4 linked regions of the Drosophila melanogaster genome follow. The protein of the gene in region 1 interacts with the protein of each later gene in a pairwise test. Each region holds a gene or a part of one and is shown in the gene's direction. Other genes may lie near its edges. The genes, in order: DIP1, Tango9, CG3511 and Adar.

Region 1 (7,880 bases):
ACTTTTTAACAGATTTAACTCACTGAAATTCTGAAACAGATTCCTTAATACCGTTGTGTTTTTGTTGTTATGTTTTTGTATATTATTATCCCTATTTAAATTATTTTCCTTTTTCGTTGTTGTTTCGCTTAGAATTTCTATTTCTTAGAATTCCTTTTTCTTGCGTCCATACCGAAACGTTTTCGAATTTAAACTAATTTGTGAACATTTCTTTCGAGAATTGTTTTAAATGCGCACGCGCCCGGCGTCATAAAGCAACTGAGAGAAATCAAAAGAAGACTCACGAAAGGAACCCACAAATCAAGTCTTCTGATATACACAAAACAAAATTCATGTATTTTCATGTCTTTTTGTTTAAAAATTGGTTTCTACATATTTCATTTTCAAATTCAAACTGGCACATGTGCGTATGTGCATATGTGGAAACGCGACTAAACAATTATATTTAAGATGTTATCTTTAAGTTTTCTCGTTGAGAACGTTGTTTTAATAGGTGCTATACAAATTTGACACTAGATTATTGTCAGTGTACGATTTTCCTATTCGTGGACACCGTATATTGATTTCGGTCATGCTCTTGTACCGCAGTGAAGAAAACTTTTGCGACAGTATTAGGTATTTTATTTGGCGTTTTATTTGGGTGGACCTCAGTTAAAAATATTGGACCACTTTATTTCAGATATTCCAATTTAAACATAGAAATATGGTTACCTTGTGGTTTTTATTTGATCCTGATTTGTTTTCGTCAATAGTTTTGTGACTTAAGCAGCGAAACATTAAATTACAATTACAATATAAAAGTTACAAAATACGCGGTAAGTCGTACTCTGATTTTGATTTTGATTTTCTGCAAGTGGGTTGGTATATGTGTGTATTGAGTTCCCTGTAAGTCCAGGATCACAAGACGAGTCGAGCTGTCCCATATTCTTTTTTCCGTCTGCCCAATCAGTGACCTTTGAAACCTCGCGAACCTTAAGGGACTATGCCTGTATGCCTATGCAGCGCAGTTTGACACTGCTTAAATATTCGTAAAAGAATAAAAACCTCGATTAATATATAAATATATAGCAAATATATTTGCAAAATATGATAAACTGACCTATTAATCCCAACACAGATAGTTAATTTTCATAAGTTCGCTTGCATTCCTATTGATGTGGTTGAGGAAACGCAAAACTCTTGTGAACACAGTGTGAACACCTATTCTATTTTTCGTTTATCCAAAACTGTCATTCCCACACTTTTGAAAAATATTCATTTTTTTAAATAAAATTTTTGTCTTGCAACTTTCTATAGATATGCAAAAATAATGTCGAAAATTTTCCGTCGCACTCCCACTATCTAAGTAACAGGTATCTTACCTTACTTTGAGCATTAGTATTTTTTTAATATATGCATAATATGAAAAACACACCTATTAATCCCAATGTAGATAGTTAATTCAGTTGATTTGGTGTTCATTTTTACAAAGTCGCATACTTTCCTATTGCTGTAGTTGAGGAAACGCAAAACTTTTGTTAACACAGTGTGAAAACATTTCCTGTTTTTTGTTGACGTTATAGATTTTGCCCACGCTGCAGACAGGCAAATTGTGTTTGCAAGTCATGAAAAGTCATGCGCTTATGGTTCGAGTTCTATACTATTTTCTTAATACATTTGAATGTCAGTCAGTCAAACAAAAATGTAGGGAATTACCATGCACACAATTTAACAGCTATAATATTCTCGCGATATACAGAAGTACTGTTTCAATTCTAAATTTTCGCAATAACTTTTAAGCACTTCCAAAGAGCATCGTCGTGCTATTTTTAGCATGCTTTTAATTATTTCACAATAAAATCTTTGGTCTGCTCTTTTTTTTCCGCCGTCTTTCCATCACTTTGCTTATATTACTATGGCCAGTGTGAAATGTCTATAATATATTTAATACTAAAAACGATTTTCGAAATATGTGAAAAATATCGATATATTTACATATATTTTGACATCCCTACTTAAGTTTTTTACTTCAGTGCAGTACGATTCTTTCTGTGACCTGAGCAGTGAAAAATTAAATTACAAAAGCGAAAAAGCGAATTACAAAAGTGAAAAATTAAATTACAAAAAAAATCAAGATGAAGCGAAATCGTCGTGCATTTGCTGGAAACAACAAGCCATTTGTCTTTGGAGGCATTTACGTAAGAATCTTAATTTTTTTTGCAAGTGTGTGCAGGAGTGTGAGTTAAGAATTCCCTGTGACGTCACGAAGATATGTATTCCGAGTGAAAATGCATCACGAAAACAAAAACCATTGTTGGAATCATCCATATTTGATTTGTGAAATAACAAAGTTTTCGTTTTTATTTCTATAATTTGCAGCGCACAAAGTGAAAGTGTTCATTCACAATTCACCACAATTGTGAACTCATTTGCAATAGCCACTAAAAGCGGGTTAATCGAAAGTGCAGACCGTTGTCCGAATTCCACCAGCATTCACAATGCACCCCCCAGACATCCACCACCTTCCCCTCTCCCCTTACATTCGTAACCCACCCATTTGCATTGCACTCATTCCACTCCGTTCGTGCTTTCGATCAACTAGATATGGCCAGCACTGCTATAGTTTCACGCTGGACTTGCGGTTATCGCTAACTTTTATGGCTACTGAAAATGCATTCACCCGAAACTGTAACTAAAATTATTAGTTTTGGGTCAGATAGCAATGCCCATTCACTCCACCGAAAGTGCCCGAAACGAGCCGGCGACCATGAACTCAGCCGATGACCGAAGGATCCCCATAACTATTGTTTCATGCTAAAATAGACAGAATTGTGAAACGTATAGGTCGATAGTCAATTATTTTACTCTATTTTTGCATATCGGAGAAAATTCTATTAGAATTAGAATTAGATTTTCTCGAACCTCTCTGCAAACAGAATACATTAGCGAAAAGTTAACTCACCATGAGACTGAATTTATTTGTTAACCGGACTTTGCGGTTTTTATGCCCATTGAATTAAAGAGACATTGGTTACCCTAATAGTGCAGTACACCTGATTTTCATAGATTAGCATAGACTACCTGGTCCCGGAGTCCTCGGCTGGATCCGATAAACGGAGATCCACAGTCGCTGGGCAGTTGGCTCCGTTGGTGCAGAGCTTCGTTTCGGGGCACTTGGGTCGCAGGAATGGCCATGGCTAGTTCCGGAACTATGGTTTTAAGTAGACCAGCCGACCACCCTGACGGTTCCGGGTAACTTGACGACTTGATGGTTTCCGTTGGCCAGCGAGTCGCTTTTTTGTCGACCCACTGGACCAGTCCGCTGCAAGTGATTTTGTCTAGGGTAGCCTGGCGAGCCAGGCGGAACCCGTTGCCTTCGCTAACTAATCGACTAATGAAACTCTTTCGCAAACGCAGAATCCCAATGCCACCGTCAAGCCTTTGATCCAAATGCCGTTGCAGGCCGCCAATGTCCAGGAGCAGCAGTCTTCTCCGGTGGCTTTATATCCGACATCGGCCTCCCCGGTGGCTGTTCAATCGCCACAGGACGCATTTTTGGCTGTTCAGTCGCCAGGGGCTCCTGCCCCCGTTCAACTGGCCAACTCGTCCGACCAGCAGAATAATCCGGATGCGGACGCCATTGCCTCCAAACTGCCCATGCCAGTTATCATCAAGGAGGAGCCGATCTCTGTCAACGATGAACCGTCCGTCGACAATATAGAGGACAATACCAGTGCCAGTACCAGTGCCAGCGGCATCGGGGGCAAGATCCCATTTAAAAAAATCTTCCAAAAGCGCAAGAAGTCGTCTGGTAAGCGAGGAAACCTTTGGTGATCAGATTTCCCAGAATTTTCACACGCTCACACAAAGCACTAGGTTTCTTATGGAAGGGCAGACCGGAAATTACTTACAGTTGTGTTGCGAGTTTAAGATAAAAAATTCCTATGTTTTATAGTTTTATTGGTCCATTTTTTTTATAATATCATTAGGTATTTAATTTTGAACAATTCAAAACATGTTTCACATTTATTCCTTCAATAGTTTCAAAAGTGTAGATTAAAACAACATAATAGGCAGAAATTCTTTTTCTTTTTAATATGTTAATTACGGCATAACACTTGGTTGGATAGCCTTTGTTAGCTAGCACAGCCTTACACCCATGCGGCATGGTGTCCACTAGGTCCTGGCAACGCTTGGGGGGAATTTCGACCATGCATCCTGCACAACTTGTCAAATCTGAGCCTTAGGCGTCGGGCAGTTCTTCGACACATATTGTTTAATGTCCCCCCACAGGGTTTCAATCGAGTTTAAATCGGAAGATGGTGCTGTCCTCGGCATCTATTCTATTTTGGGTGAACCTAGCCGATTTGCTTCTACGTTTCGGATTATTATCCTTTTGGAATGACCATTTTAAGGGCATATTATATTAAGAATATGACAGTAAGACATCACTAAGAATATTTACATATGCGCTTTTGGTCTATAATACCAAAAATCATATTTTATGGACTCATACCATTGTAAAAAAAACTAGCCCATAGCGAAGTTTATCCTTGTCTGAATATGCCTTTGGCTAAGTAGGGGCACCTTTCGTGGGCTCTTCGCACTTAAATTTTGATTAAGTAGTCGTCTCCGAATTGCAACGTCACTGATTCCCAAGTTCAGCTCAGACTTCATGTCCCTAGAGTATGCAAAAGAATAGACTTTGTTTTAACGAACTATGCGTCGATCCTCTATATCTGTGGTTTTACGTTTGGTATGGTTTTTTGAATGTCCTTATATGTTTTTCCTTTCTTTTTTAGCTTAAGAATTAACATTCTTTTCTCCTGGGAGCAGTGCTGTCCTTTAGCCACTAAAATATATTTTTTTTTTATTTTTTTTTTTAATTTATTGCCCTTTTAAATATACGAATTAACTTAACCGAACTCACTTTTTAGAAAATATTGATAATTTCGGGACTTTACGTTGGTCAAAACCAGACACTGCTATTCTTATGAACAGCCTAAAAGTTGTGATTTTACTCAAGAATGAAAATGAAAAATAAAAAATAAAAAAGGATGGCATGTAAAGCTAAGGGAATTTTCTTTTTTTTTTATTCCTATCTACACATTCCATTTTACACTAACAAGTGGAACAAATAGTCGATTCCGAAAAGGGACATGGAAAAATTTGTATTACTTAGTTTCCCTCGCACTGCTATTTTTATGAACACAGCTGTACTTACAACTTCAAATTTCATTTTTATATATTCTTGTATATATGTCTATTAACTCTATCGTAGAACGCACTCGGGACAAGAAGTTGCGACAGAACCGCCAGCTGCGCAAGTCCATGCTCCCCAAGAACGCTCTGATGGCCCTCAACGAGGTGAAGGGCGTGACCATCAGCGATTTCACCATCGACAGCAATACCGACGGGGGATTCACGGCCGTTGTCACTGTCAACTCGAATCAGTACGAGGGCAAGGGTACCTCGAAAATGACAGCCAAGAACGCGGCCTGCGAGAAGGCTTGGCGCGATTTTATTATTGCAAAAATGACCCCCAAGCCGCCCCGTATTCACCAGGTGGAGATGGGTTCGGAGCCAATGGATATCAACGAGGATGAGGCCGATGCACCGGATGATGATCTGCCCATGTTGAATCTGGCCTCGTTTGCCATCTACAAGCTGTTCGCGGAGTGGGAACGGGAGGGCTATGTCGTGCCCGAGATGCACCCTTCGGCCAATGCTGCCCAACAGGCGGGAGGGGATGCCGGAACTCCAGTTCCCCCCGTGCCGAAGGAGCCAAAGAAGCCGCCAGTGCGCACCGAGCTACCCTCTGGCTGGGAGACCATGCACCCGGCGACCATTCTTTGCATTGTAGGCCAGCCCACCTTACTACCTTACTATGTACAGTGTCAGTAATCAATTCCTCTGCAGATGCGTCCGGGACTCAACTACGTGGACTACGGGTCATCTGGCGACAAGACCAACGGCATGCAGCATCTGGGAATCATGGTGGACAACCAGGAGTTCCACGCCAACGGCAGATCAAAGAAAATCGCCCGTCGCAACGTGGCCGTGAAAGTGTGCAACTCTCTGTTCGGCACCAACTTCACCTACAGCGACACCACTTAAGACACCAACTCCAACCGCAGACTCCAACTGCCGACGACAACACACATAACGGACACTCTTAACGGACAGCAATCAGAAGATTGCGACCCTGACGTCAATTGCGCAACTTTAAGCGACACCACTTAAGACACCAACTCCAACCGCAGACTCCAACTGCAGACGACAACACACCTATGCCTCTCTTAACGGACAGCAATCAGAAGATTGCGACCCTGACGTCAATGGCGCAACTTTAAGCGACACCACTTAAGACACCAACTCCAACCGCAGACTCCAACTGCAGACGACAACACACCTATGCCTCTCTTAACGGACAGCAATCGGAAGATTGCGACCCTGACGTCAATTGCGCAACTTTAAGCGACACCACTTAAGACACCAACTCCAACCGCAGACTCCAACTGCCGACGACAACACACCTATGCCTCTCTTAACGGACAGCAATCAGAAGATTGCGACCCTGACGTCAATGGCGCAACTTTAAGCGACACCACTTAAGACACCAACTCCAACCGCAGACTCCAACTGCCGACGACAACACACCTATGCCTCTCTTAACGGACAGCAATCGGAAGATTGCGACCCTGACGTCAATGGCGCAACTTTAAGCGACACCACTTAAGACACCAACTCCAACCGCAGACTCCAACTGCCGACGACAACACACCTATGCCTCTCTTAACGGACAGCAATCGGAAGATTGCGACCCTGACGTCAATGGCGCAACTTTAAGCGACACCACTTAAGACACCAACTCCAACCGCAGACTCCAACTGCCGACGACAACACACCTATGCCTCTCTTAACGGACAGCAATCAGAAGATTGCGACCCTGACGTCAATGGCGCAACTTTAAGAATTCCTTTTCTGTCAAAGTGAAGAGGCATATTAAACAAGAATTTCCCAATTTAGTTTGTATTTGGGACAGCTCTTACTTATGATTTTTTAGGTGGGCCGGAGCCGTTTTCAACAACGAATAATTTTGAACTGCAAGAGCCGATAAGATTATCCGAATAATCTAAACGCAGGATTCCTTGGTAATGCTGATTAATTTTTTCCGTGTATTTTGCGACACACTGTGGGTTTGGTTTTTTTGAAAACGCTTCCACAGAAGAGGATTTCAGTGGCAGATTGGGTATCAAATATTAATTATGCTTACCAGTGAATTACATTTTTGTCGTAAACTAGATTAAGCTAAATGGGTGGTATAATTACTTGATTTTTAAAAACATGAAGACATAAGTACATGTATTGAATATAAAATTGTAAAGTGCATTTTGATTTCTTGTGCTCATACTTGATGAGAGTGAGTATTTGTCCAATGTTGCCCAATGCTCTTGATTGAGACAGCTTTTAAATTATACATTTATTTTGAATAAAACGACATACACTGAAGTATTGTACCGCCGCGTTTCCCTGGGTGAAATCCGCGAAGTGGTTTCACAAACCCTGTACACTGCTGACATGCAACACCCGTCAACAACACCGATGAGTCGTCCCCTGCTCAGCTGATCCTGGCCACGTACCTACTGATGACACCATGCTTGCGTCGCCCTCATCCTTGCAATTCGCTTCCAATGCAGTTCAGGAATGGCTGCATGCAATCGATCGATGGACTTTCAAATGGAACATAACCATTAACTGCACTAAGTCGGCCTGTGTCACATTTACCCTGCGACCTCAAACCTGCCTAGGTCTTCTCTTCGACGGAAATACAATTGACTATGTCTCATCCGATTGCTACCTCGGAGTTCACCTTGATCGGACGCTGAGTTGGAAAGCCC
Region 2 (6,211 bases), on another chromosome or scaffold:
AAGTTGAAGAACTTAAGCAGGCTTTTATGTTTAGTTACTTGCATTTTTTTAATTGGAACAATTATACCTAGTTTACTAAACGTACAACATTACATTAAAAAGCAAAAGAAGCAGATATTTTTACTTAATAGCATAGAAACGTGTTACATAAACCACCTTTAATGTCAAGCATGAAATTGTTTCGCCCTATTGCAGAAATCTGGGAACAAGACCTTTCGGACACCTTTAAAATCGAGGGCAGCGACCAGGGCATTCAAAAGGTTAACCTCAAGTGCGGAGCGGACTCCATGAACGTGGTGCTGGAGACGGAGAAGCCTTTCATGGGTGTGATGTACACTCGTGGCAGCTTCTACAAGCAGTCTGCGCCGTGCTTCATGAAGCCATCTTCCAGCCAGGGATCCCGCACAATGGAGATGAACTTCCAGCTGGACCAGTGCCAGACGATCCGGGATGGTGATCTCTACACCAACATCGTGGTGATCCAAAACGACCCAGAGCTGATCACACCCGGAGATTCGGCCTTCTCGCTGGAATGCGACTTCCGGCAGCCTCGCAACCTGGACGTGGAGGCCAGCATGCAGGCCAGGGACAGGTAAGGTGGCGGATCTGAGTCCGAATCTCTGATTACGATCTCTGATCTGCATTAGAAACCCACAAAAGTTGCGCGGAGCACGCGGTGGAGCCCGCCAGCGCCAATAGATCTTTTCAACCAATCTAGATCTTTCCTCTTCGACTACAATCACCTCCAAAAGCTGTACATAAGGTACAAGAGAGATGACCAGTTTTTTTGCTATACCCCCAAAATCTAATACCAGCCAAGTAGCGCTATACTAACCATACATAACTAACTTTGGTACACAACAATCAGTTACGGCCCAGATAGGTACTCATAGGATATTCGAATATTTATCCGAATTATTTAGTCCACTTGTCACACCACCAGTACAATACCCGCCCACATACATGCATTCCACAGAGTGGCCACTGGTTCGAAAATCACACTCACAAGTCCTGATCCCGCGGCACCCACGGAACACCTACATAACTCGGTGGTCAGCAACAGCGACTCGGTCGCATACATACCAAAGTTCAGTCGGCCAAATAGAACCATACACCTGGGCTCCGTGGAGGAGGTGACGCTGCCATCGTCCTCCCAGGCGCGAGATGAGCTCTAGGAACACCTACACTCCACGAAACGATACTTAAATAGAACACAAGATACTCAAAGACATTATCACAACACTTAAAGAAACACCACAGAGTACAGGTGAGGCGACAGGACACGCTTTGGTTGCCAACTGTGTTTTTGCTTGCTAATGTTTGCTAAATATCGATTTTGCGATCCTATACTATATTATAATATTGAATTATTTACAGGAAATTAGCACAGAATGCGACGCAGGCGCCAACGGAAGCAAATTGATGGCAATTGTGCGGCAAATGCATTAACACCACTTCATGTATTTTCATTTAAATGGTTTTTCATATCCTGTGATATTTTTTAAGTTTGTGTTTAATAAAAACTTGGCAAAAGTAATCCATTTTTCTGTTGAAATATTTATACAATTTGTAAAGTCCCAAAGATCGTCAACGAAGTTTTATGTGACACTTTCCCTAATATTAAATCCATAAGCATTTTGGTGTCGATTCAGTTTTAATTTCAAAATATAATTTCACGCGCCAATTTAAAACCCACCAGTTGCTTTGTAGTGTGACCATATTCGTTGTTGATTTCCTGCTCACTATATTTTGTGTAGTATTTTTGCTAGCCTGTGCGGTCTCACTGTTGGCGAAAAAAAATAAACAAAAGTCCCGTAAAGACAAACTAATTCGCACTACTTGCAAAAAAATTACTAGTTACTTAGGTTTTTGACCTTGAAAAAGGTAAAGTTACTGGTTAATGACCACAACAACTCAAGTGGATTATATAGATCTGTGGAAGGGCAGTCAATTGACCGTCTGGCCGCACTTTTTTGCACTTATCACTGCGCAGTCACAATTGCAAATTGCACAAAGAACGTCAATATTTATAAATCGAATTAACGCTGCACCCGTCAAGTGAATCTTCCGCCGACGAATGGATCATCGTGTTTTCCTGTCGCTGATCTTTGTGCTCAGCGGCACCTTCAACGTTCTGGTGGTGAAGTGAGTACCAAAAGATCGCTTAATAATAGTAAGTAATAGTGCTAAATAAATGTGCACTCGATGCTGTGTGTGCGTGTACGCATTGCAGGTGGGCCAATCAACAACAGGTAATCGGCAGCGATGGAAAACTTCATGGATTTCAACATCCAGTGGTGTTCACACTGCTCATGTTCCTGGGCGAGTTCCTGTGCTTTGCGGTCTTCAAGGTGATCCGCCTGATCTCCAATCGTCGTGGAGTAAGTTCCAATGCCGGTTGGTTTATAATCGGCAAAGCTTTTGTATTTAAGGAACTTTTAATCATCTGGCAATCATACACAGGTTATATCCGATCTGGATAGCATCTTGTCGCAGGACAGCAGTGAGTTCCGCCCTGTTAGCATGCTATTGCCCACTTTGCTGGATGCGGCAGCCTCCATTCTGTTGTTCACCGGACTTTACTTGACTTACGCCACCAGCTTTCAGATGATAAGAGGTACTTCTATCAGACAGTGGCCTTGCTTATCATTACTTACGTCGCCTCATCTTTCCCGCAGGCGCCGCCCTGATCTTTGTGGGCATCTTTAGCACCATGTTTCTGAATCACACGCTGACCGGACGGCACTGGCTGGCCATCTTTACGATATCGTGCGGCCTGCTGGACATTATCAGTCTGGACGTCCATCGCGTTGAATACGACCTGGTCACGTTGCCTTACACGGACTACAAATCCATTCTGACCGGCGACTTACTCATCATCATTGCTGAAATTCTGCACGGACTGCAATATGTTTGCGAGGAGAAACAGCTAAAAACCTCGAATGTTGCTCCACTGCAAGCTGCTGGCTGGCAGGGAATCTTCGGCTTGGGCATCACCTCGATGCTGGCCATTTGCATGAACTTCCTGCCGAGCATTGATCCATTTAGCTGTAGTTCGCGTGCAGTTTTCGACGATTGGGGTGATCTCTTTGCGGCTCTGCAGGGGAGTATCTCATTGATTATGACTCTGATTGCCTTCACCATCTCATGTGCCATGTACAACTTCATTGGACTGTACATTGCGATGTACTCGTCCAGCGCCAACCGGCTTCTGGCCGATGGCCTACGCGTTTACTTCATCTGGGTGTTTGTGATTATCATGGAGTGGGAGTACATGAATCTGGTCACGATCATGGGCTTCCTCATCCTGCAAATGGGTATCATCCTCTACCGACAGGCCCTATTCCTCGACTGGTATCGAGCTGCAGTGGCCCGCTGGTATCGTGCTCGTTACGTGGATTTGGGTACTGAGAATGCGGCTGCTCCGAACAGCCGGCCAGCGGATGTGATCTAAGGTGACTGAGGAGTAGCTGAGGTGAAAGGATTGTGATGAGAGAGATGGGCTGCAAATCAACCCTGGGCTGATTCTTGAAGATTACTTATCGATTATATGTATAGATGCAATAAGAAAATACACACATTAAATGTTAATTGAGCTCCTAGAAGTCATTTCATTTCATTAAATTCTAAATATTGGTTTATATAGGATAATTCCTCTATGATGTAGCCGTCCAATTTGGGAAAGTTTCATACAGATAGCTTCAAACCTGGGGAACTAGCTTGTGTAGAAGACGGACGGATAAAACGGACATGGCTTAATCGACTCGGGGATAAAAAAATTCTTATTAATATGAGGGGGGGGAAGAGACCTTTAATTATAAGTTACACAGATTTCGTTCGCTCGATGCCCAGAATCTTCTCGCCCACACCCAAAAAATAAAACATTTGCGCGATACCAAATAGTGGAGCTAGCACCATTATCCGACATAGACCGCCCTTAAAGAATGCACTTATGCCCTCTTCCTTAAGGGTCCTATTTACACAGTCCATGATGCCTTTGAACTTCTTCTCGCCATCGGCCTGCAGTCGAGTCTTGACCACATCAAAAGGGGTGACCATAAAGGCAGAAGTCATGCCAGACAAGAGTCCAGCTATCAGAGACCAGTAGAAGACCGCTTCCCCAGAACCATCTGACTTGCGTGGCCCCTGGTCATTTATCCAGGCCATTAGCGGAAAGTACACCATCGAGAACGTAATATCCCGCACTCCAGTGGCGCCCACACCCTTGTATAAACCGAAGATTCCACGCTCACGAAGGAGCGTCTTGGTCAGACCCAAGGCCGTTATAGTTTTCACCTCTCGTCCTGCCGCTCGGTCGGCAGCAGCCACCCGCCCGGCGTCCTGCATCTGTATCTTGAGGAGCTCCATGGGCGTGGTGACCACGATCTGGAATAGCCCGGCCAGGCCCCCGGCCAAAGTAGCCCGTGACAACGGAATAACCCCGTCATCGGATGCCAGATGATACCGAAAGAAGTCGTTGGCGGTCAACTTGATGGCTTTCTCGGGCGTAATCAGCACGATGTTCACCGCTGAGCCTCTGTACATTCCAAAATAGCCTTCGCTGGCGATAGTCTTTCGGAAACAGTCGGCGCTAAGGCAATAGAGTTCTCCATTAGGCGGATAATAACAAAACACAACCCAAACCGAAAACCCAAAACTCACATGCTGGTGTACATGCGCTCTCCATTGGGACCTATTGTTTGGTTTTGCAGTCGCGTCTTAACCATGTCCAGTGGATAGACGCATGCCACTCCAATAATACCGGCGACGCCGCCATTTATAATTTTCGGAAAAACGCTGTGATGGGTTCGCAATTAAGTATAGGTTGTAGTATTAACCATATGGTAGAACTTATTAACTTAAACTTTTGTGGTTTTTTTTGCTCTTGGTTCTTTTGCTCAACTTGTTCCAACATTTTTTTTATAGGCCAAGAAATAATTAATGTTGTACGAAAATTTTGAATTTACATTAGTATATTTCGTTAGTTCAATTCTGACGGTTTTTATAAAGCATACAATTTCTCTAGTCATGTTCTTGAATGCCACTAAAAGTAAATTTCGCCTGGCAGCAAAGAAAAATGCATTACTAATACAATTTGATGCAGAACGTTCATGGCTAGCTGCGGATTGCTCGGGAAATAAAGACTAAATAGAGAGAGTATCCAAACACAACAGTTATAGACTATGATATTAACCAAAAATGTACATTATATCAGCGATTAATTTGCTTTATCTTATTGTCATTGGAGCATCAGTTATCTTCTGACATGGTCTAAATACATATGTAGTACATCGTTTGAGTAGTTTAAGAGGATTGGGGAAAACTTTAACAACTTCGCTGGCTGGCGCATCGTTCGATTACTTTAGCTTACTATAGAGACTTCACGATTACATTCATGGACAGCTTTAACAACATTTAAACACGATATACATACACATTCAATATTCAAAGAGAGTACATTTAAAATGCTTCGGTCTTGTCAATCCGCCTTGGCGCGCACTCATTCCAAGCCGCCCTACTTTTTCTGATAGCCCAGCAGGCCCTCGGCCACGCCCAGATAGTAGACCGTTTGAGCGATTCCGAACAGAGGAGCAATCACAATCATTCGGCACAGGCCGCCCTTGAAGAAGGCGGTGGGTCCCTCGTGCTTCAGTGTCTTACTATTGGAGAATTTATATGAGTTTAAGGATATATTGGCAACATTTCTTGAACTCACGTGATACAATCTGATATGCCCTTGAACTCCTTCTCACCGTCGGCCTTCTTAATCGCCTGCAGACGCGTCTTGACCACGTCGAAGGGATTAACTGCGAGGGCAGCGGTGGAACCGGCCGCCAAGCCCGCCAGGAAGGAGCACCTATTTAATTAGCATAAAATAAATATAAAAATGACAAATAGACAATTATGCTTTACTTACCAGAACACAGCCTCGCCAGATCCATCGTTTCGTCGTGGACCCAGGTCATTGAGAGTAGCGAAAAGGGGGAAGTAAATGATAGAGAAGGTGACATCTCGCAGTCCTGTGGCACCGATACCCTTGTACAGGCCAAAGATGCCCTTGTCCTTGATAAGCTGGGAAGCCAATTGGGTGGCCGACACCTTCTCCACCGTCTTGCCAGCCAATTTGGCCGCCGCCGCCACGCGACCCGCATCCTGCATCTGGATCTTGAGAAGCTCCATGGGCGTGGTGACGATAATTTGGAATGCACCG
Region 3 (5,401 bases), on another chromosome or scaffold:
TCTGCTTTTGCCCCTCGAGCGGTGCTCGTAAGCTGGGCGTCTTAGACGTGGTGGCCACATCAGCGTCAGCAGACGGGCGCTTCTCATCCGGCGAAGTGGTGGATGAGGCTACAACCTCATTCTTTTCTGCCGGTGTGGGGGGCACCTCGGCTTTTGTGCTCTCCTTGGAATTATCATCAATAACTACTACGTCTTCGCCATCGCTGGCTGCTTTTTCAGCATCTGGTGAGCCAGATGAGCTGTCGTCTATGACCACAATATCCTCAGCATTAGTCTTGCCATTCAATTTGTCTCTCGGCTCTTTGGGTGCTTCTGTAGCGCTTGAGGCGTTGGAAACCTCTGGATCCTTGGCATCGCCCTCTATTTCGAACACGTCTACTGACTCCTCGTTTACATCGTCATCTTTGCTTGTGCTTGTGACGGTATTATCACCCTTATCGGTGTCTTCTGGTTTGACTTCGCTGCTGGATTCCGTCTTATCTTTGTCCCCATGCTTCTCGGTAATCTCTGCAACAAATGGAAATATCGTTAGAAACATTCAAGTCAGCTTGCTGGAACACCCAACCCACCTTTAAAGTCAACGCCTTCGCCATCCAGTTCATGCTTAGACAAACCCGGCGGGGCATTGATGTCACCAGTGTGTTGAAAGAAGTGGTAGGGCTTAACCTGAATCAAATTTGAAGCCATGTTCCACACATCCTCGCGATCGTCAATGATGCACACCATGGAATCGCCATTCGGAAACAGAGCCCTGTAATATACAATTTGTAGATTATTGTTTAACACGTTTAACAAGTGAAAATCCAAACAGCTTTCAGGTATAGAAACGCACTTTAAATTGTCCGTCTTGCTGGTGGCGTTGAAACACTCGTCTCTGGACAGAATCCTGTGCGAGAAGAACTTGCCCTCCGGGTCCAGCAGCTGGGCAATCATGTGCGCGTAGTTACGCGCACCAAAAGTGCAAATGTGCAGTTCGTACAGCTGGGACATGCGCTCCAGAAACTCGGCGGTGCCGGGGCGCAGGCGCGTGTGGTACCACGGGGAATGTGGGCCGTACAGCTGGAAGTGGTAGATGCCCTTGATGTTGTCCGGCACAGTGTCGTTGGTGGTGTGGATCACCGTCTGATCGAGATCGACAAGCAGGACCAGCTTCCTATCCGCCAGCAGGCGGCGGGTGTCGTCGTGCCCGAGCTTCTGGGCCAGCTTCTGGGTGACCTTAAGATCGGGCATGGTGTGCACCATTGGCACCGAGGCCTCGGAGGTCTGTCCCTGCGGGTTAAATGTTTAATTATTCTATATGCCCCTTGAGGTGGGTGGCAATGTGCACTCACATTCTCGTTCTGACGCAAGTCGGCTCCGCAGTCCGCGCACATGTCCTTGATGACCGTGGTGTGTATGCACTCGGACAGCTCCAGAATGGCATCCCTAAAGAACAGGCTCGGTTAGTGTGTATACGGCTGCATAATTGCATTCCCCCACGCCCAATCGCCGCCCGATTGCAACCCCCAAACTCACCCCTTCGTAAGAAGCTCCCCTTCCTTGCGAAGGCGCTTCTTCACCACTCCGGCGCGCTGGGACTTGTACCTCTGGATGGCACAGTCCCCGCCCGGCTTTCCCGCGTCCTTCGCGTCCTTCGCGTCCACGCCCACGGGCTGGTAAAGAAACAAGATTTGGGCCGCCGACACGAATTGTCCCTCGCGAACCCGCCATTTATTGATTACCGCTCTCGCCTCGTTCTCTCCCAGCGCAGCTCTCAAAACAATGATGCCGCCACCGCTGGTGTTGTTGTTGCTGTTGCCGCTGGCGCTGTTCTTGGCTCCGCTTCCTCCGCCGCCATCGTCGCCTTCGGCAGCTCCAGATGCGGCCACGCCCCCTGGCGCGCGGCTGGGCGTCGCGCCCTCCTCGTCCGGTATGTTCTGCATCGCAAGGCTTACGTTTTTATATACAAACGATTTGTTTAAATCCCAGTGCCTTGTTGTGTTTGCAATTTGTGTGAATATTGCGCGGAATTCGCATAAGAGCGCGGACAACTTTTGTAACTGCTCTCAAACAGCTGACTGAGCGCGAAAGGCGGAAAGTACTGATGGGGGTTTCACTTCGATTTGGTTAGTTAATGTGCGTAATTAACCATTAATTGGTAATTCAATTTATTTTACTCGTTTCTTTTAGTTTTGAGTTAAAATACAGGATATTCGTCCAAAGATATCGCAGAATCATTTGAATCAGCTGCTTTTGACCGTTAACCAACACTGTTTAATCGGCGGCAAACTAGTTCAGTCGTATTTTGTTTATTAACTTCCAAAATGAGTGATAAAACCAAGGAAGACCTGAAGCGCAGTGCCCCGGAGGAGGAGAATGAGCCCCAGGAGGAATCTGTGTCATCCGAAAAAGAGGCGGAAGGCGAGGAAGACGCCTGGATTGGACCCATGCCTTCAGAGCAGAGCGCTCCCGCGCCCGCCAAGAAAAAGAAGGGTTATTATTAAGAATTAGATTTCATTTAACTATAACTAATCAATAAATAGTCCTGCCCTATGAACACATCTACCTGGAAAACCTGCCCAATGCTGAGAGCTACGAGAGGAGCTACATGCACCGCGATGTGATCACTCATTTGGTGTGCACGAAGACGGATTTCGTAGTGACCGCCAGTCTGGATGGACACATCAAATTCTGGAAGAAGGGCGAGCTGGGCATCGAGTTCGTCAAGCACTTTCGCAGCCACCTAGGTGGGTTCTTGATCCACATAACGTGTATTTCTTCGTTTAACCAAGTGTTTGTTGCAGTACCCATCAAATCACTGACCACCAACGACAGCGGCACGCTGCTCTGCTCGGCGGCCACGGATCAGACAGCCAAGGTCTTCGATGTTGTCAACTTCGACATGATCAACATCATTCGATTGGGCTACACACCGCAGTGCAGTGAGTGGATAAATGGGCCGGGAGATGCCGTACAAGCACTGGCCATGTAAGTACCTTATCAATATCTGGAGATTAATGATTCTGATTGCTCCTCCTCCAGCTCGGATTCAGAGAGTAGCCGCATACACATCTACGACGGGCAAGGAGGCGGAGAAGCCCTTCACACCTTGGAGAAACTTCACTCGGCGCCCGTGGTGGCGATGTGCTTGAATGTGGCCATGGAGACCGTCATTTCTGTCGATCGCAATGGCATTCTCGAATACTGGCAAAACTCGAAGTACGACTACAAGTTTCCACAGCGTCTGGTGAATTTTGACTCCAAGCTAGACACAAGTATAGATCGATGATTAAGCTGAGTGAACCTAGACTCATCTAAATATTAACCTTTTAGGCCTCTTTGAGTTTGCCAAACAGAAGACCCAAGTCACGGGTTTAGCCGCCACGCCGGATGGAAAGCGTTTTGCCGCCATTTCCACAGATCGTAAGGTCCGCGTCTTTCAGTTCAACACGGGCAAGTTGATCCGGGTATTCGATGAAGCTCTATCTACATACACCCAAATGCAGCAGACGAAGCACGCCCTGCCCAACATGGAGTTTGGCAGAAGGTAAACTAGAATAAAATAGTTATTATTTATTGGTTTAAAGATATGAATTCCAGAATGGCGGCTGAGCGGGATCTGGAGAAGACTGCCCAGAATGCAACCCTTAATATTTTGTTCGACAGCACTGGCAACTTCTTGCTCTACCCAACGATGTTGGGCATCAAGGTGATCAATGTGGTAACGAATCGCTGCGTCACAATTCTAGGAAAAACCGACAACATACGGCCCCTCCAGGTGGCCTTGTTTCAAGGAAGAATTAAGCGCCAAAAAGCTGCTATAACAATGGAGCAAGAGGCCAGTGAAAACCCAGCACTCCAGAATATCCTTAACGATCCAACAGCCTTTTGCACTGCTTACAAGTTAGTTCATACCGTTTTGAATTATATCTATGCTGTATTATAATGTCCATTCTACTACTCTTATTAGAAAAAGTCGCTTCTATTTGTACAGCCGAAGACTGCCCTCGGATCTGCAGGATGTCGACCGCGATATTTTCAACGAGAAGCCCTCGAAGGAGGACATTATCGCCGTGCCGGAAGCTTCAGGTATTTTGGTTTGGCTTATCCCATTAACCTTTCTTAACTAACCCAAAACATGTTTCTATTGCACGCCAACAATATTTTAAGACGAAGGTTATTCCTATCAGATATTTCAAGAACAATTCATTACAAAATGTTCCTTCTATTCTAGTCGTGCAACGCATCTACGAGAACGTGGTGCTCCACACCACGAAAGGCGATATCCACATGAGGCTGTTCTTCAAGGAGGTTCCAAAGACGGTTGAGAACTTCTGTGTTCATGCGAAAAATGGGTATTATATATACGTCAACTGTTGAGAACTGTCCCATTGCAATCACATTATTTTGTCAGGTACTACAATGGACACATATTCCATCGCGTGATCAAGGGCTTCATGGTGCAGACTGGCGATCCCACGGGAACGGGCACGGGCGGCAAATCCATTTGGGGAAGCGATTTCAAAGACGAGTTCGTGCCGAGCCTGAAACACGATCGGCCCTACACGGTCAGCATGGCTAACGCGGGTCCAAACACGAATGGAAGCCAGTTCTTTATCACAGTCCTGCCCACGGTAAGGATGAATGCAGCGGTGATTAGTTTACTTTACTGGATTGACTAAGTACCAATCTCTAATTGCAGCCCTGGCTCGACAACAAGCACACGGTGTTCGGAAGAGTTTACCGCGGCATGGAGGTGGTTCTCAACATTTGCAATTCCAAGGCGAATCCCAAGACGGACAAGCCCTACGACGACATTAAAATTATTTCGATACACTTAAGTAATTGAGCAGAGGGCTAAAATAAAACTTTCAGCGACACTGGTTTTCAAATCTTCGGAGAACCGCCAATGCGCCGCAAAGAATTTTGGTATTTTTTTTTAACTCGGTTTTTTTGGTGTTTTCCCAGCCCGGCACACTAAACAGCTGATTCGTTTCTTGCATTCGGTGTTCCTTTTGTTTCGATAGTGCAATTAATATAAATTGGGACAACTGCAAATCTAATAGTATTATTAGAACCGGAATTAGTTGTGCACCTTCTAGTATTAGAGACTTATTAACATAACCAACCTGTGCCTACCGGAAATATAGAGGTACTTCTCGCAAATTATGCGGGTTCTTGCAAGATAATACGATACCATTTGTTTATGGCTGAGTAAAAAAAAAACAAAGAACTCCAGGCTGACGAGTCATTTGTGCGTATCGGCACTGAATCTGCTCCAGATTCGAAAACTAGGTTTATTTACATTTGCATGCAAAGGTATATTGTCTTCGATATGTGAATTGTAGTATACGTACATAGTTGCCTTTATTTCCAGACATGAGCTAGGCCAAATATAACCGCTCGCCATGTCCAATATGGA
Region 4 (7,887 bases), about 20 Mb from region 1:
AGTGAAGCAAAGTAAGAGGCTTCATCCAGGAAGTAAGAGGCTTTGGTCACGAGGACCGGGGTTATTCTGGGTCTTTCATGGTAATAAGACTGCATATTGGCTGGAAGCGATATGGTTCAGTTTGATCTTGCCGTAGACTCCTATGCATAAATGTAAACGTATTATTACTATTAAACAATATAGCATGATATTAGGCGTAGTTATGTGCAATTATTATACTCCATATGGCATGATTCGTAGTTTTAGGACAATTACATTATATTCTGGTGTACTTTCTTGTTCCGTTTTCCATTTTTGCAACTCGTTTTTAAATAGCATAAGATACTTATGATTAAATGGTAGGTAACTTTATACCTTGCTTTCCTATAGATCCTCTTTATTTTCAACATTTCTTTTGCTATGAATCACAACACCACCTAAGTTCCCCAAAGGAATTTCTTATTATTCTTTTTCGATGTGTTTATTTAAAATGAAAAAACTGATCATAATTTAAGAACGGAATTATGCTTGATGTTGTACTTGATGTTCATTAGTACTTGAAGCTGGCCGGTCCGGTCCTATTATACTAGACATTTACAATTTTCGCCATCACTTGTCCGACAAATGACACTCAACACACAGGTGCTGTGTTATATAAATATGTTGTAATGAATTCGAAATGGTCAGAACAGCGACAGAGGATATTTCTCGAGCCTAACGAGTTTCCGATTGTTTCACTTGTTTATTTCGTGCTTTGTTCACAACACACTTTGGGCATTTCACATTTATTGTTTCCCACTTTGGGCAGGCAATATATCTACTTATTGAAATTATAAAGAAATTTTAAAGGTATTCTTCGTACTTGCCGTGCAGCTCGGTGAGCTGTCCTTTTAGCCACCTATGCGCACATAAATAAACTACGAGACTGCAAGCGCCAATTGCTCCAAACTTTGACCATAAATATAATTTCTTCGAACTGAGTGATTCCGCAAATGTGTATCGTATATCCCGGAGTCTTAGTATATGTACACGCACACATTTTCGCAAGATATTTATTTTAAAATGTTGCTGTTGATTACTGCAGATTTTGATACGCCAATGCAACTCATGCATCTCTGAGTTTGTGCTGCAGCTGCTGCAGCAATAACCGCTCCACCGACATCCAAATTTTAATGTAAATTCGTTCATGCTGTAGGGTTGGTAATGTCTTTCTGACATTTTGACTTCATTAATTCGACGAAATCTGCCTTCTGGGCGTCTGCGAAAGTTTTATCAGCGCCAAAGCATCTCAATTTTCGACATGCACCGTGCTTTCTGTTCAATTGCAAAACAAATGACACCTGCCATTAAAGCAAGGTTGATGTCCTTCGATTAGAACGGGTGCCCCCTTAAGAGTGGTTTTCAAAATTAATTCCATGCTCGACTCAAAAAAGATGGCTAACACAGCTTATTATGTATTTTTTTTTCGGCCAGTACTGGTACGGGTTAGGGAGCAAATCAAACGAATTCCCCAGTATCCTATCAGATACCTTTTCAGCCCAGCCCTTTGAAGTGTCCCCGAATGCCTTGCACTGAAACGGACTGGCATGGCACATGTGCCTTCCCTTTAAAAGGGTATATAAATATCGAGCTCCTCGAGATCGCAGCTAGTCGCGCAAATTATCTGCACACTTACAAACATGTGTTTTTACACATGTATGTACATTTTTAAAATTTTTTTTTCATAATTGCAGTTCCTTCTACAAAATTAGCTGCAGTTGGCTTTTGTCGTTGTCAGATAAATGTCAGTGCTTAGCCGGGAAACTCGAAATTTATCAGTCGCTGGGTTGTAGACGGTCTTGAATGTCATATCGTTGCTCGATGCTCGCTGCTCAGTTTTCTTGCAACAGAAATAGCAGTGAAATAGGTGGACCAATAATGTATCCAGTGTCCTACAAACCAGGGCGTGCGTGCTACAAATCATGCCACCATGCAATGCGAGTAGCTCGATCCTCATTTGGTTACCAACGTCAACAGTTTTATGCCGCCTCTAGTTATGCAGGAAAAAGGTCACGATTTTTTGTTAAGCGCCGATTTACGTTCCCATCATTGCCTGGCAATGTAAGTAGATTTAGTCCAACCGAACTCTGTGTTCAAACCAAACTGAACCGAAACAAACTCGCACTCAAGGAGAGATACAACATGTAGTTTAATATTTGTATGCCTTTTAGCCGTAAGCCCACAAAAAACTACCAAAAATATAACACAAAATTATATGAACATATTTTAACCGAGCAAAATGTGTGAGAAAGTCGTTGTAACTAAACGTATTCGTGTGCTATTGTTTTACAAACGTCTTGCTATAACTGTCTATATGGTATCGATGTTGTTGTGCGTAATATTAAACAAAGCGTTGTGTGTATGTATGTACCATGATTGGTCTCTAAGTCATGTTTTTGCTTTCTAGAAGTGCATAATTCAATTCGGCAATATTTGATATATATGGTAATATCAAATGAAGAACCGTGTCAATGATACTTGCTTTGGTGCCATAAAAAGCAAGTCCTCTAGAAGACGCGAGTTACTACATGCCTACACACAAAACGGGTCCTTAAAATGAAGTTTGAATGCTTTTCGTTGTACTGTACAGTGTTAAAAGTAAATGCCTAAATACTCTTGATTTCACTATTAATGCATACGTATCCATAGCCGGTGAGTGCACCATCCGATATCAACATGAATGGCTATAACCGAAAATTGCCACAAAAACGTGGCTATGAGATGCCAAAATACTCTGGTAAGTCCATCCCCAAGCACTAGGATGTGCCCAATGTGCCATGCGGGCATATCCCAGATTGCTAGATCAAATGCGAATTAGTACACTGATTCCCAACGCCATTTCGTTTCACTAGATCCAAAAAAGAAAATGTGCAAGGAGCGCATTCCCCAGCCGAAGAACACGGTGGCCATGCTGAATGAGCTAAGACATGGACTGATTTACAAATTGGAGTCACAGACTGGTCCGGTACACGCACCTCTATTCACGATATCCGTGGAGGTAAGATATGTTTAAACCCATCGGACCCTCTGAGCGATCGACCACTGAGCTGAAACATGAGGAGGTCGCTTTGAGGAATTATCAAAGGAACGGAACCTGCGATCTCAAGTTCTCTAATCTAATTCACAGGTCGATGGACAGAAATACTTGGGCCAGGGCCGTAGTAAAAAAGTTGCACGCATCGAAGCAGCAGCAACTGCACTGCGCAGCTTTATACAGTTTAAGGATGGAGCAGTTCTGTCGCCTCTGAAGCCGGCGGGCAACTTGGACTTTACCAGCGATGAACATCTTGAAAATGGTATTGAAAATTTGTCCAGTTCAAAAATGTTTGAGATCATTCAGACGATGTTGACTGAAAAGCTATCCAACCCTACCTCGCTTGAACAACCCACGTTTTGCATGAGTCAGAGCAAGTATTAGTGTTTTTATCCTCTTTTGTTAATTATTTTAATTTATTATTTAATATAATTTATTCTGGAACCTTATGCGTTGTGGCCATATCAAAGATGTCTCCATTCATCTAATAGCAATGTTTTGGCCGAATATCCAATAGTATCGGCCATGTCACAAAATCAATTGTTATCAATGATTTTAAGCAAATATGTATGTTTAAAGTGCCGTAAGGTTCGCAATGTTGATTTTGGTATCGTTTGTGTTATTTGTATGAGAGCACACACAGCTCATTTGGACTGAAGTTTTTATAGGCCAAAGAGAATGCTTTTTACTTACTGAACCCATTTTTAATAAATAACCCAACAATCGGCTACTAAAAGGCCTCGGTGTACTTGAGTCCTGTTTTTCTCTTGTTTTTTTTTTTTTTTTTTTTTTTTCCTTTTATTAATGCGCCTTATTCAGCACATTATGCTTAATAGAGCAACCAATTCTGTGCTTCAGTGTCGTACGCTTACTTAAATTGACTTTCATTGGTTGATCTCTACGTTTTTATAAGTTTCTTGTGTTTCTTGTTCATTGTTCCCCTCGCGTTTGTCTGATATGGCTAGAGACCACTATTGCGTCTGAAATAAGATTAGAAAACTAAGGCGTAGCTTCAGAGTGACGAGCAGTCAAATATCCCCAGCTAATTTTGTTTTATATTGCTAGATGTCAGCAAAAGTGCTATTACTGTTGACGGTCAGAAGAAGGTTCCAGATAAGGGTCCTGTCATGCTCCTCTACGAATTATTTAATGACGTTAATTTCGAATGCATTAATATTGACGGCGCCCAGAACAATTGTCGCTTCAAAATGACCGTCACAATCAACGAAAAGAAGTTCGATGGAACAGGTATGTAGTTGAATTATCTCGTTGTTAACGTCAACCCACCCAGCCACATACAATGTATGCTAATGTGTAACTCAATTTTTCTCAAGGTCCTTCCAAAAAGACGGCGAAAAATGCGGCAGCTAAGGCGGCACTTGCTTCGTTATGCAATATTTCCTACAGTCCAATGGTGGTGCCACAGAAGAACGTACCCCTGCCAATCGACGACAAGTCGTCATCGATGGAGTTGCCTCAGATACACGCGGATACGATTGGTCGGTTGGTCTTAGAAAAGTTCATGGAAGTAATCAAGGGCCAGGAGGCTTACTCGCGTCGAAAGGTATTAGCGGGCATTGTAATGACTGAAAACATGAATTTTTGTGAAGCCAAAGTGAGTCCGCAGCCAGCGAAGCATTGCGAAACCAATTATAATGCCAAACCCATCCTTGATCAGGTTATTTCAGTTTCGACGGGCACCAAGTGTGTCAGCGGTGAGCATATGAGTGTGAACGGAGCTGTCCTAAATGATTCCCATGCTGAAATAGTCTCCAGGCGTTGTCTTCTCAAATATTTATATGCACAGCTGGACCTTCAGTGCAATCAGGGTATAGTTGTTTGATGTATATGCTAAGTTCAGTTTACGTATACTAATAATACCATAGAACTTAAATCTAAGAGTAATGCATAATCTAGTTGTTAAATGTTGATATCGAAAATGTACGCTTTACCAGCAAGAATTGCCTACATAGAAGCTAAAGTTCCGATTTGTGCTCATTAACCGTATACGAGCACAAACTTTTATTTTTTCTTTCTTTTACACATTATAAACAAGCACTTTAAGCTAACTTATGTTTTCCCCGTCTGATCGTTTTAGAAGGTGTTTATACAAAATTAAATTTTAAGGGCAAACCATCTTAAAAATAAACAATTTGTAAACATTATCAAATCTAAGCACAAACATTAAAAATCTCGAATATCCTTTATTTTGAATGGCATTTACCTTAATTACTTAATTACTAACATTTCAGTTGTACTATTTCATTGAATTATTATCTAAATTGCAAACCAATTATTAAGTAGCAAAGGGAAAGCTTCTAAAGTAACATTGTTTCTTTTGAATTCAATGTAATGCCTGTGGCATGATTTGGGCCCAGTGAACACATTTAGTATTCTTAAGTCAAAACTCACCTATCGGAAACACAATTAATGATAGTTCTTTTGACTTGGAAATAAGAGTGGGCATTATAGGAAAAGGTATTTGCCTTTGGCTCAAAACAAAATCATAAAATATGTATAAGTTGCGTAGTATTTTGCGATTGGCATTTTGCTTTCCCAGCTTAACATTCTTACTAAAACATGTTTCGCATTGTTTTGTTGGACTTCTTTTCATGTATACCTTTGCGTATTGGTGAAAAGAATGAGATTTAAACATAAAACTACTTCGTTTTACTTTAATTTATATTTGATTACTCTTATTCAATTTTCTCCTAAATTTAGCCACAGCATATCAGTCGATTTTCGTGAGGAATACTGATGGGCAATACCCTTATAAACTAAAATCCGGGGTACATTTCCATTTGTATATAAATACAGCACCTTGTGGGGATGCACGGATATTTAGTCCTCACGAAAACGACACTGGTGTTGATAAACATCCAAATAGGTTGGTACAAACTGCATTCTATAAATACTCGATATTTTTATATGAAGAATACTTTCTCTACCTATTTACACATTTAAATTGTATTATTCAAGTAGAATTATAATGATTTATATTTGTACGCAATAAGAAACGACATTTCCCTGCAGGAAACACGTTGAGATTGCAAAAAAAATTTGTATTTGCATAAAAAAAATATATATTTGTATATGTACAATTGCGTGCTTAAGAATGCCACAAGTTACCGTCAATGAAATTGCGACATTTGTTCATTATAAATAACTTTTAAAATCTGGAATGCAAGCATATGCCAAAAGAAGAAAGCACTATATCGCACACTTTCATTTCAATTTGTGGCAACATAATGCACGAAATTGTTCATATTAAATATTAGAACTATCAATTTGAACATGAGCATGAATGTATACAAGAAATCAGGTATTTTAAAGCTTTTACTCTTTGTGTTGAGTCTGTTTAGAAATGTATTTGCCCCCGGCTTTTTATTCGCCATCCGTTGTCTGTATGTATGTGTCTGTAACGATTCAGTCAAGTGATTAAGATGACAAGGATATACAAAACATGGGCTTCCGCTTCCACAATTTTGTTAAATACGTATTTGTATGCCCTTGCAGTTGTTATAGAACGCAGAGAATAAGGCATCTCTTCCGCTATTAATAAACTATTGCATAGTCTATATGGCAATGTCCGTCTACAAACTTCGGAGCTCCGAAGTTTCCTTTCTTGTTTGCAACAATCGTTTAAAATGACAGTTCGAAATAGGTTAAGCATAAAAGTACCTACCATTTGAATCAGATTTAATAGGTGCCGGTCTGAGGGATTACTTTGAAGTATATGTGAGAAATGAATTTTAATGATAAGCCTTGCCGCCCGCCACTCCCTACCACATAATGAAGTAATTCATACCATGTTTTGTTTCCAGTATTACTTGGCATGTTTTAAACGTAGTTTTTGAACAAGCTAATAATTATATTTTCCATACTCACATTTTATAATGCCGACAACGAATCATACATGAAATAATCATCAATCAACAGAAAAGCTCGTGGCCAGCTGCGCACCAAAATCGAGTCCGGTGAGGGGACGATTCCAGTGAAAAGCAGTGATGGTATCCAGACGTGGGATGGCGTATTGCAGGTAACCCGATTGGGCGGTTGCTATTAGATCGTGGTAAACCATCAACATTACAACATTTATGACTTTTGTGCAGGGCCAACGCCTGCTAACAATGTCGTGCTCGGATAAAATTGCCCGTTGGAACATCGTGGGCATCCAAGGCTCACTATTGTCTTCCATAATTGAACCGGTGTACCTGCATTCGATTGTGCTGGGAAGCCTGTTGCATCCGGAGCACATGTACCGCGCAGTTTGCGGCCGAATTGAGAAGTCCATTCAAGGCCTGCCACCGCCGTACCATCTGAACAAGCCGCGCCTGGCACTAGTCACTTCGGCCGAGCCGCGGAATCAGGCCAAGGCTCCCAACTTCGGGATCAATTGGACCATTGGGGACACCGAGCTGGAAGTGGTGAACTCGCTAACCGGTCGAACCATTGGCGGCCAGGTGTCTCGCATCACAAAGCAGGCGTTTTTCGTTAAGTATGGATTTCTAATGGCAAACTTGCCCGGTATTTTAGTCCGCAAAGTAACCACTGACTATGGGCAAACCAAAGCTAACGTTAAGGACTATCAGGTGAGTGTTTATATGCTGGATCATTTGAGGATATGCATCAAATTGTTTGCCACATCTGTTCTTGTAGATCGCAAAGCTAGAATTGTTCTCTGCATTCAAGCGAGAAGACCTTGGCAGCTGGCTGAAGAAACCCATTGAACAAGACGAGTTCGGTCTTGCCGAATGACTGCACTCAGCACTATTATATAATTTTAAAAAAGACAACAGCAACGGCAAGCAATTAATAGAATTAGACGACATAGA

Evidence for each region.
Region 2: the proteins of DIP1 (region 1) and Tango9 interact in a two-hybrid assay, tested with the Drosophila melanogaster proteins (one large-scale study listed by BioGRID).
Region 3: the proteins of DIP1 (region 1) and CG3511 interact in a two-hybrid assay, tested with the Drosophila melanogaster proteins (one large-scale study listed by BioGRID).
Region 4: the proteins of DIP1 (region 1) and Adar interact in a two-hybrid assay, tested with the Drosophila melanogaster proteins (one large-scale study listed by BioGRID).

What each region holds. Positions count from the first base shown.
Region 1 is NC_004354.4:21,624,271-21,632,150, reverse strand, and holds DIP1 (DISCO interacting protein 1), read left to right. Parts: upstream 1-2,002; 5' UTR 2,003-2,114; coding exon 2,115-2,177; exon of another isoform or gene 2,178-3,247; coding exon of another isoform or gene 3,248-3,307; exon of another isoform or gene 3,308-3,396; coding exon 3,397-3,790; intron 3,791-5,260; coding exon 5,261-5,838; intron 5,839-5,898; coding exon 5,899-6,096; 3' UTR 6,097-7,355; downstream 7,356-7,880.
Region 2 is NT_033777.3:11,970,480-11,976,690, reverse strand, and holds Tango9 (transport and golgi organization 9), read left to right. Parts: upstream 1-1,780; 5' UTR 1,781-2,077; coding exon 2,078-2,145; intron 2,146-2,233; coding exon 2,234-2,381; intron 2,382-2,463; coding exon 2,464-2,617; intron 2,618-2,678; coding exon 2,679-3,454; 3' UTR 3,455-3,822; coding exon of another isoform or gene 3,823-4,591; 3' UTR 4,592-4,662; coding exon of another isoform or gene 4,663-4,797; 3' UTR 4,798-4,859; coding exon of another isoform or gene 4,860-4,915; 3' UTR 4,916-5,515; coding exon of another isoform or gene 5,516-5,660; 3' UTR 5,661-5,684; downstream 5,685-6,211. Other genes in the region: CG10005 (uncharacterized protein), read left to right, coding at 196-592, 977-1,175; GC2 (glutamate carrier 2), read right to left, coding at 3,823-4,591, 4,663-4,797, 4,860-4,915; GC1 (glutamate carrier 1), read right to left, coding at 5,516-5,660, 5,717-5,857, 5,918-6,211.
Region 3 is NT_033778.4:24,569,603-24,575,003, forward strand, and holds CG3511 (uncharacterized protein), read left to right. Parts: upstream 1-2,024; 5' UTR 2,025-2,105; exon of another isoform or gene 2,106-2,169; 5' UTR 2,170-2,303; coding exon 2,304-2,472; intron 2,473-2,522; coding exon 2,523-2,726; intron 2,727-2,783; coding exon 2,784-2,967; intron 2,968-3,021; coding exon 3,022-3,254; intron 3,255-3,312; coding exon 3,313-3,526; intron 3,527-3,579; coding exon 3,580-3,882; intron 3,883-3,949; coding exon 3,950-4,068; intron 4,069-4,213; coding exon 4,214-4,334; intron 4,335-4,393; coding exon 4,394-4,613; intron 4,614-4,681; coding exon 4,682-4,828; 3' UTR 4,829-4,901; downstream 4,902-5,401. Other genes in the region: Fcp1 (TFIIF-interacting CTD phosphatase), read right to left, coding at 1-507, 570-751, 833-1,269, 1,332-1,425, 1,516-1,922; Start1, read left to right, coding at 5,388-5,401.
Region 4 is NC_004354.4:1,775,945-1,783,831, forward strand, and holds the start of Adar (adenosine deaminase acting on RNA), read left to right. Parts: upstream 1-1,874; 5' UTR 1,875-1,896; coding exon 1,897-2,079; intron 2,080-2,425; exon of another isoform or gene 2,426-2,574; coding exon of another isoform or gene 2,575-2,616; exon of another isoform or gene 2,617-2,667; coding exon 2,668-2,755; intron 2,756-2,870; coding exon 2,871-3,016; intron 3,017-3,145; coding exon 3,146-3,314; coding exon of another isoform or gene 3,315-3,436; exon of another isoform or gene 3,437-4,117; coding exon 4,118-4,300; intron 4,301-4,386; coding exon 4,387-4,667; intron 4,668-4,730; coding exon 4,731-4,881; coding exon of another isoform or gene 4,882-4,895; exon of another isoform or gene 4,896-5,256; intron 5,257-5,773; coding exon 5,774-5,939; intron 5,940-6,991; coding exon 6,992-7,091; intron 7,092-7,164; coding exon 7,165-7,644; intron 7,645-7,711; coding exon 7,712-7,810; 3' UTR 7,811-7,887. UniProt on the Drosophila melanogaster protein: Has A-to-I RNA editing activity on extended dsRNA: edits RNA-binding protein Rnp4F. A-to-I editing of pre-mRNAs acts predominantly through nervous system targets to affect adult nervous system integrity, function and behavior.